Linked DNA regions of Danio rerio. The protein of the gene in region 2 binds, or shares a complex with, the protein of the main gene of each other region. Links are inferred from orthologs where the notes say so. Each region holds a gene or a part of one and is shown on either strand. Other genes may lie near its edges. The genes, in order: timm10, timm22 and timm9.

What was found.
Region 1: the proteins of timm22 (region 2) and timm10 are in contact, whole or in part, in a cryo-EM structure (PDB 7CGP), measured with the Homo sapiens proteins. The link is inferred for Danio rerio from reciprocal best matches to the Homo sapiens genes TIMM22 and TIMM10. Residues at the interface, in NP_037469.2 of Homo sapiens: Tyr25, Ser26, Leu28, Leu29, Gln30, Tyr31, Leu32, Val33, Arg40, Leu42, Leu47, Gly48, Glu67, Glu144, Ser145, Tyr146, Gly148, Ser150; in NP_036588.1 of Homo sapiens: Pro3, Ala6, Gln7, Leu9, Ala10, Ala11, Leu13, Glu14, Val15, Met17, Met18, Ala19, Tyr22, Ser44, Lys45, Gly46, Glu47, Arg53, His62, Glu63, Gly66, Leu69, Thr70, Ser73, Met74.
Region 3: the proteins of timm22 (region 2) and timm9 are in contact, whole or in part, in a cryo-EM structure (PDB 7CGP), measured with the Homo sapiens proteins. The link is inferred for Danio rerio from reciprocal best matches to the Homo sapiens genes TIMM22 and TIMM9. Residues at the interface, in NP_037469.2 of Homo sapiens: Asp35, Arg37, Gln38, Pro39, Arg40, Leu42, Gly45, Ser46, Leu47, Gly49, Ile50, Ser52, Pro53, Lys60; in NP_001291414.1 of Homo sapiens: Gln13, Glu16, Phe17, Thr20, Leu57, Thr60, Gln61, Met65, Phe67, His71, Gln74, Asn75, Leu78, Lys81.

What each region holds. Positions count from the first base shown.
Region 1 is NC_133176.1:47,648,069-47,651,781, forward strand, and holds the start of timm10 (mitochondrial import inner membrane translocase subunit Tim10), read left to right. Parts: upstream 1-875; 5' UTR 876-1,054; coding exon 1,055-1,125; intron 1,126-3,713.
Region 2 is NC_133180.1:68,924,517-68,927,817, forward strand, and holds the end of timm22 (mitochondrial import inner membrane translocase subunit Tim22), read left to right. Parts: intron 1-2,140; coding exon 2,141-2,213; intron 2,214-2,327; coding exon 2,328-2,404; 3' UTR 2,405-2,741; downstream 2,742-3,301. UniProt on the Homo sapiens protein: Essential core component of the TIM22 complex, a complex that mediates the import and insertion of multi-pass transmembrane proteins into the mitochondrial inner membrane. In the TIM22 complex, it constitutes the voltage-activated and signal-gated channel.
Region 3 is NC_133192.1:12,573,080-12,574,945, forward strand, and holds the end of timm9 (mitochondrial import inner membrane translocase subunit Tim9), read left to right. Parts: exon of another isoform or gene 1-936; coding exon 937-1,071; 3' UTR 1,072-1,361; downstream 1,362-1,866. UniProt on the Homo sapiens protein: Mitochondrial intermembrane chaperone that participates in the import and insertion of multi-pass transmembrane proteins into the mitochondrial inner membrane.

The DNA.
Region 1 (3,713 bases), on a different chromosome or scaffold from region 2:
GCCCTGGGCTGCGTCCGAAACCACCTACTATTCAGTAGGTACTGCATTTGAATTTAAACGTACTACTCGGTCGTTAGTAAAGTACGTTCTATACAGTATGAATGTAAAAAATAATAAATCAATTCGGACGTACTACATCTGCCATTTTGTCATAATCACATGACCTTCCTGTGTCGGTTGCGTCGCTTTACTTCCATTCATGAATTCTCTTGCGAGGCATTTTGGGATAGCGCAGTGTGCATGGGATGCGTCATCCGGGTACTTCTCGCATACTGATTTTCGAATTCTATGAATTCGGACATACCACTCGGCTCGCATACTGATTTTAGCGTACTGTATTATATGGAAGTATGCTGTTTTGGACGCAGCCCTGGTGTTCCCCTCTAATGGCATGTACAAAGGGGGATGTCAATCGAATTCTTTCTGCAGACGTTATTGTATGGAATTTGTACTATTATAATAATGCTTTTTGTTTTTCTTAATCGTTACTTTTTATAAACTGTTTTTGTTAAATGTTAGAAAACTGTTAGGGGGAAAAAGAGGATTCCAGCACTACTTATTTATTGATATATATATATATATATATATATATATATATATATATATATATATATATATATATATATATACCATAAAATATACATTACACTTTTGAGCTTTCTTTCTCCTAGGTTTTTTCACAATATGAAATTATAATCAGTCAATAAATGTAAGCGTTATTGTATTTTATATCCGAGAAAAAGCAGCTCCTCCGTTCAGTTGCGTCTGTTTACAGCGCACCGATGACCGGTTTAAGATGGCGGCTGCGTTGACGTATCGGAGCAGCGGACCGGACCGACCACGAGGCGTCTCACTTTTCAATAGAAAACTTTATTGTCAGCGGATGTAGCAATTACAACGCTGGATGGAAAGGAGGATCCACGTGGGTTGTTTCTCCGGTCAAGCACACAGACACTGAAGGTTAAAGCAGGCTGTCGGGGCTCTTTGTTGAACGGGATCCGCGCGCAGACCGGTGGGTTTTTGTCGAGGGGGAACCGAAAGGACGTTTGCAGAAATGGACCCAATGAAAGCGCAGCAGCTCGCCGCAGAGCTGGAGGTGGAGATGATGGCTGACATGTACAACCGGTATGCAGATTTTATTCATATGCAACAAAAATTATTTGTGTGACATTACTTGCATTATTGATGCAGACATCAGATATGCTATTGTGCAGTAGTTTGTGTAGCTATTTGTTTTTTACGATTAGTTGTAGTATAACGTTATTATGTGTATTAAGACACCAGGCCTTGATCAAGATCGCATAATTTGACATTTTAGGGCAGAATTCAGTAAATCTATATAATCCTTGATGTTTGCTGCAATAACCTGTATCATCAGATTACGAGCATTGCTATTGCAGTGACAGGTCCATGCATTCAAGTCCTGCACATCTTGAACCGTCAGGTTCATTTTTTTGTCCTCTGTCACTTTGAGAAAGTTAAGTTTGAGTGTTTAATTAAAATGTATGCGCTGATCCAATGTACAAGTCAACATTTGTGTATAAATACACAATTATTAGTTATTAGTATGCTTTATATTAGATTGGTGTATTAAAATGTTATATAAAAATGCCTGTGACATTGACATTGGTATATCCTTGTGAAGAGCTTTTTAAGTGAAAAAAAGACTAATTGAGTGTTTTATGTAATGTTCGGTTGTTATGAAGTTAAATATTTGCCATTCCTATGCATTTATTCCTACTATGTAAAAGTCTAGAGTTAATAATTGTATGTGGTTGGGCTGGATAATCACCTACTCAATTTGATGGATATTTCTCTTATTATTTGTTGAAAATTACTAGTTACATAATGTCAATATTACAAGTTACATTTTGTTATAGATGCTATAAATATAAAGGTATAGTTGTTGGTACTATAATATGGGACATTCTACCAGAAAAGTACATTTTCACTTATAAAAAATGTGATAAGACCTGACCTTTAAGCTTTTCTTTCTCAAAAACAAAAAAAACAAAACAAAAAAATCATGCAAAAACAAGCATGAAATCATACAATTCATTGATAGAATGCATCTTTGATCACTGTCAGCTTCTTCATCAAACGAGTCATAGCCTTAAAGGTGTATTGCATGCATTTTATTTTAAGTTTAATATAAATGTAACAGGACTGACAGAAACATGGGGGCAATTGTAAAATAGTATTTCTTTGTTGAATTTATTTATAGTTTCATGTTTTAATCAGTTAGTGTGAATGCTAATAACTTAAACTTGCTATTTTAAAAGTTTTTTCCCCCTAAATAACAGTTTATAGCATAACAAAAGTATTAACACTGTAGGTTCAGTTGGGCTGAGGACAAGGATGACAGGGTTTATACAGTGTAAAATGTTTTTAATAAAGAGCAAAAATCTAAGAACCAAATGAATGACATATTCCTTTACAGAACAACTCACAGAAATCAACCATCGGTTCAGTTTAGAAAGTTTTTGGGATGAAATCCTTTTATATTCACTATTTGTTTTTATTTCAAGGACGAATGATGTACATCTCAGGTAGAATGTCCCATATAAATTATATTTATATTGATATTATACAAATATTTAAAATTTTCTATGGATTCCTTGAACCATGAAAAAATGGTGGTAAAAAATAATGTATTGAATTATTTCTGAGGAGAGAGAAAAAAAGTGTTTGGAAGAGCAAAAAGGTAGGCCAAAACAACTCTAATAATATTATATTATTATAATAAAAATATCCAAACTCAATAATATATTATTAATTATAAAGATTATGTTATCATAAAGAAATGTACTGAAATTGACAGTACAGCTTGTTGATGAATGTTATACATTCAAGATATTAATTGTAAATCGACTGACTTCTCCAGATCACATATTTTTGCTGCTATAATTTAGCAACAGTCTTGAAGGGTCCTGCAAATCTATTGTGGAAACGAAAATAGTTACACAAAGTCTCTTCTCTAGTGCACTTCACAAAAGTGTGCTTACTCCATTTCATCATCCTAGCAGTTTTTATGATCATAAATTTGGGAGAGCAAAATATTTCAACACAACCCTACAATACAATTGATGCAATTTGTCTAACCTTAACCAGATGGAAAACCACAGATTTGGCAACCCTGTTGTCAGGTGTTTCTTCAGATAGTATTAATGCCTAATACAATTTTACTCCTTGATTGTCAATAGTTTAGCCCTACTGTTGTAGTCTCTATAAAATAACGGATTGAGTTAATGGACGTTATTAGTGCTTAAATCCGTTGTTCAGCTGTTCCAAAACTGTTTTTCCCATTCATGTTATTTATTAAAATGTTAGAAATGATCATTGGTAAAGAATTATAAGCCATGAACCAAACCAAACAGCTGCAAGGAGAATCTGAATGTGTATCAAAAGTAAAATACATGAAAATTTGACAAAAGTCAAGTAATTTGGTAAGAGCTACAACATCATGAAGTACTGTGAACCCAATTTCTAAAAAAAAACATCAGATAAATGTATATCTTTTATTTAAAACTGAATGGCTCTCTATATAGAAACAATATATCTGACATATTTTGTTTCTTCATGGAAGCGTGTGGAGCTAAATATCAATAATGTGTGCTTTCCTCGCTGGAGCTTTGTGATTGGTGGAAAGTCTGTACAGCATCATGGAAAATGTAGTTTCCCTGCACCGATTCAGCATATAAACATTCATTCAT
Region 2 (3,301 bases):
TACACAAAAAAGAATTTCTACCTGATTCACTCTTGAATCTGTATGGGTAAAAATCCCTGCTGCATGCTCTTGTAGAATGACTGTGCACCTGGCTGACTAAAACAGAATAATTAAGAAAATATTTTGGGACTGTTTTTTTTAAAGTCCTAAAAACTTTCTCAACTTTTAAAAAATGACTTTGACTATAATGTTCCTTATTTAAATGTGTCAGTGGAGGAACTTTCATAATAATTCTACACAACTTATTTTGGGCTGTCTGCAATTTATTTTTCATTATTTTAGAACTATTGCTGTACCAAAAAGCTGCTAATGATTGATAATTTTCCTATAGATCATGGATTATCTAATACAAATATAAATGTAATCTAATAATATAAATATCTTTTTTTGTACTTAGAATAGCACACATTTGTAATATATTAGTAAATGTAAAATAGACATCATTCAATTTTTGTCTTGATGATAGCTGTTCAAAATAAGATATTCACTAGTGTGTCACTTCATAATCCCAGTACATATTCAAACCTGTTTCACACTGTTTATGTTTTATATCACGTACTAATCAGCATAAATGATATATCAGTTTAGACTGTATAAAATAGTACACAATGTTTGAATATTTCACTAAAGTTAAAACATTAAATGCACCACTCATAGAAGCATCTTTTGCTGCACATTCAGTTTAATGTGGATTATTGTCTCCACCTAGTGGTTCTGTATTTGAACACTTTCTGATCATCTATTCATTTCACTCGTTATGATGTGTTTAACGGTCATCGCCATCTTAAATCCTTGAAAGTTTTTAATATTTTGATTTTTAAAAAACATCATGAACCTTTTCCAGCCTTTTCTTAGCTGTTCAGGCTGGAAAATGACCAGATTGACAAGCATGGTTTAAGCTGGACATTGCAGGTTTTGGCTGGTCAAGCTGGTTTTAGTTGGTCATCTCCCAGCATGACCAGCCAACCAGCCTAGGTTGATTTAAGCATTTTGTTTCAGCAGGGATATGTATTTATGTATGTATTAAATAATCTTTGCATCAAATTACAAAAAATGAATTACCGCTTGTGTGAGGCATTTGTAATGGAGCGTCTATGGACGGGACAGTACATTTGACGGGACGTTGTTCTCTTTACTGTCTGTCATTATCAGTCTGACACTATTTCTTTTTCTGAAAGTCTTGATTACACCATTGTGGAGATTCATTTTATTATTTCAGCAAATAAGATTGTAAAAATATTTGTTGTATATGGAGTCAATCTAGAGCCATATATACATGCAAAATAAAAGAAAGTTTTGCAAACAAAAACAAAGTCTTGAGCAAAAATAAATAAATAAATGCAAATCGCAAGCGAATTTTTTTTTTTTTTTAAAAAGTAAAAATATTCTGATAAAAATAAAGAATTGCAAAGGGAAAATGAAGTTTTAAGAAATAAAAATGAAATTTGCAAACAAAAAAGAACTGCAAATACAAGTTAAGCAGTGCAAAAAAACGGAAATATTTGCTATAAAAAACTACAATATATTTGCAAAACATCTTTGATAGCATAGCCTTTACAAAACCCGTCCAGTCAATTGCAATGTTCATTTCGATTAGCTTTTTAGTCAACCGTGAGTCTACGATGCTGTTTTTATTTTGCACTTTACATTTCTGCACGTTTCACTTTGTGGCCCTAATTTGACAAAGGGCAGAGGCTGGAGCTACTTGGCTGTAAGACCACCTCGGTGATACTGTGTCTCTAGCTGATGACGTCGCTTAAATGGAGGCAGGTCTGGGCCTGCCATAAACTTCCAGGTTCCCTTGACTCTGCTCCCCTTTTTTTCACAAAGTGAAATATTTTTTTAACTGCTTGATTTATTTGCAGTTTTTTTTTTTTTTGCAAAATTCATATTTATTTCTTAAAACTTATTTCCCCCGTTTGGGGGATTTTCGTTTATTTATTTTTGCTCAAAAAAACGTTCTTTTATTTTGCATGTATATATGGCTCTAGATTGGCTCCCATTCACTGCGCTCCAAGTTTACCCAACCATGACGACTTCCACTACTGAGAAACCCAGAAATGTGAAAAGTGTCCATTGTAGAGATTTTTCAAAGGCCATTTTATTTCTCTCTCTGAAAAATGCTTTTATTTTTTACCAGCATCGTGGGAAGTCTGACTGGAAGAATGCAGTATACAGTGGCTGTATTACAGGAGGTGCCATCGGATTCAGAGGCAAGTCTTTTTTGATTATATTTTATTTTTTTTAAACATCCCACATTTAAATATCATCTCATTTTTATTATCATAAGTTGGACTATTTCAATGAGCTGTGCTTCTCTTCTCTAGCCGGCCTTAAAGCTGGAGTTCTGGGCTGTGGAGGCTTTGCTGCCTTCTCTGCTGCCATTGAATATTACCTCCGATGAAGATCAGCTTTAGGACTGTTGGCTTGTACAGTTGTGAGCTGCTCACTGTATAATGGAAGACAATGTCCAGCCTTTCTTTCTTCCACCAATCAGGAGCTGTTCCTCCTGAAGAGATTCAGTTGCCTCAGTGGACCAATGAGCAGAAGTTTTATGCAGGGTTTGGAATATCTTGACCTTTCTGTCTCAGATCATCTGATGGCACTACTACAAAAACATCTAGGACAATATTTGTACCTGTAAATGTTAAACAGGATGATGCCCGAGCAAAAAATAAATGATAATAATTAAATGTACAGTGTTATACTTTGTCTGTGATAGAAATAAAGAATGATATAAAGTACTTGTTGTGGCGAAATTCGTATTTGAACAAGCAAGAAGTGTGTTGGCATTGTCTCAGTAATGTAATAATGAACATAAAACAGGCTCACAGATTTTCGTTTCAAAGCAAGCAGCTTTCTGTTCGTCAAAGTAGTGATGGCAGATTTGCAAAACATAAACATTGTTTCAAATCAGTGGTTTTTGGAGCATGTATCAAACAAGGCCAAGGTCACATGATTTCATAAAACTGGGCTTGGTTATGTCACAACTGGTTCAAAACATTTCAAGCTTGGTAATTCTTCATTCTTGGCCGATGAACCCATGAATGGGTTTATTGTAAGCAAGAACTTTTTAAAAACGTTCCTAGTTTTTACTTGATCTTGGGTCAGTTTTATAATTTTAATGACACATTTGTGTAATTTAAAGTAATAATAGCAATTAAATTGCAGTATGTCTGTAATTACCCATCTGTTATTTTACGGTAAATGTCTGTAATTTGCCATCTGTTATTTTACAGTAAATGTCTGTAATTTAATGGCCGTTATTTTACAGTAAATGTCTGTAATTTAATGGCCGTTA
Region 3 (1,866 bases), on a different chromosome or scaffold from region 2:
CTAATCAATTCCTGAGGATAAAATCAAGTCAGTTTTTTTCTTGTCTAACAAGCTGTTTCCACCACAGGAGTGTGAGCTTTAATCCCATTCTGAGACAAAGTCAGAATCAAGTTATTTAAATTTAGAATTGTGGGATTTAAACTTATGAGAATAACATCAGATTTTTTGACCTCCATATTGAAAGATAAGAATTCACTAATTTGCCTTTTTTTTCTCTAATAATTCAGAGGAATAAAAAATGAATTTATATTTGTTAAAATAACAAATAACTATAATATTAAAATGACAAAATAACAGTTATCAGGGTAAAATTCTGTTTCATTAAATATTTAGATTTAAACTTTTTCCTCACAGTTGTTATTATAGTTCAGGGGTCACCAATCTCAGTCCTGTAGGGCCGGTGTCTCTGCTGGTTTAGCTCCAACTTGCCTCAACACACCTGCCTGGATGTTTCAAGTATACCTAACAAGACCTTGATTAGCTTGTTCAGGTGTGTTTGATTAGGGTTGGAGCTAAAATCTGCAGGACACCGGCCCTCCAGGAACAAGTTTGGTGACCACTGCGTTTAGTTGATTAATGACGGTGACACTTTAGCAAGCTTGTATCTCACAGTTTTTGGTAAAACCTCAAGGTTTTACCCCCAAAATCGTCCTTCCACAATACCTGGTTGATCTGAGATTTCAAGATATATCTCAGATCTATATGTTTATCATAAAGTCTGTGTTAAAAATAACTATACATGTCAAAACATTAATAATATATAAATACAAGTTTGGATTTGTTAATTGGCAAGAGAAAAATATTTACAATTTAATTATTATAACAAACATTTTTTGCAATGTTTTTTGTGTCATGTCACCATAAATAAAAAAATAAAAACACTTATTCATTATATGTAAAGCTACATCTTAATTTTAAGTATCAACATTCTTCTAGACCACATGTTCTGAGAGCTGCTTGCAGAAGTACCTGAAGATGACACAGAGGATCTCCATGCGCTTCCAGGAATATCACATCCAGCAGAACGAAGCGTTGGCCGCCAAAGCCGGATTATTAGCACAACCACGATAACAGACTGCTGCTGGACTGAACTCCAGACCATTACGCCAGGCTCTCTGTATTTCCAGCACAGAGCAGGAGTCTCCAAACGGGCCCTCAGAGGTTCAGGACTGCAGATAATACCGGGAGAAGTCCTCTACTGTCTGCCTGCAGATATCTGGACTGATGGGATTTTTGGTTTCCCCCAAATGGAAAGACATTCCTCATTTTCGGGACATTAAGCAGGTCGGCCACATAACATGAAAGATCTTGATTGTTTTTATGTTAGCATGCTACAAAAATAAAATGTTATGAACATCTCATTCCCGAGTAAATTTATTAATAATATATACAAGTATAGGTTGATCAAGAAACAAAAAAAAAATCTGATATTTTCAATTCAATGACAAAAACAATAATTTAAATAAATAACTATATAAAAATTATAGCTATATTTTGTAGTTGAAGTGAAAATATCTACAATCATGCAAATACTTTAAGTTAATTCCTGTAATTATGTATACATGGATTTACATTCACTGGCCACTTTATTAGGTATACCTGTCCAACTGCTCGTTAATGCAAATTTCTAATCAGCCAATCATATGGCAGAAACTCAATGCATTTAGGCATGTAGACATGGTCAAGACGATCTACTGCAGTTCAAATAGAGCATCAGAATGGGGAAGAAAGGTGACTTAAGTGACTTTGAATATGGGATGGTTGTTGGTGTCAGACGGACTGGTCTGAGTATTTCAGAAACTGCTGATCAACTGGGATTTTCACACACAACCATCTCTAGAGTTTACAGAGAATGGTTAGAAAAAG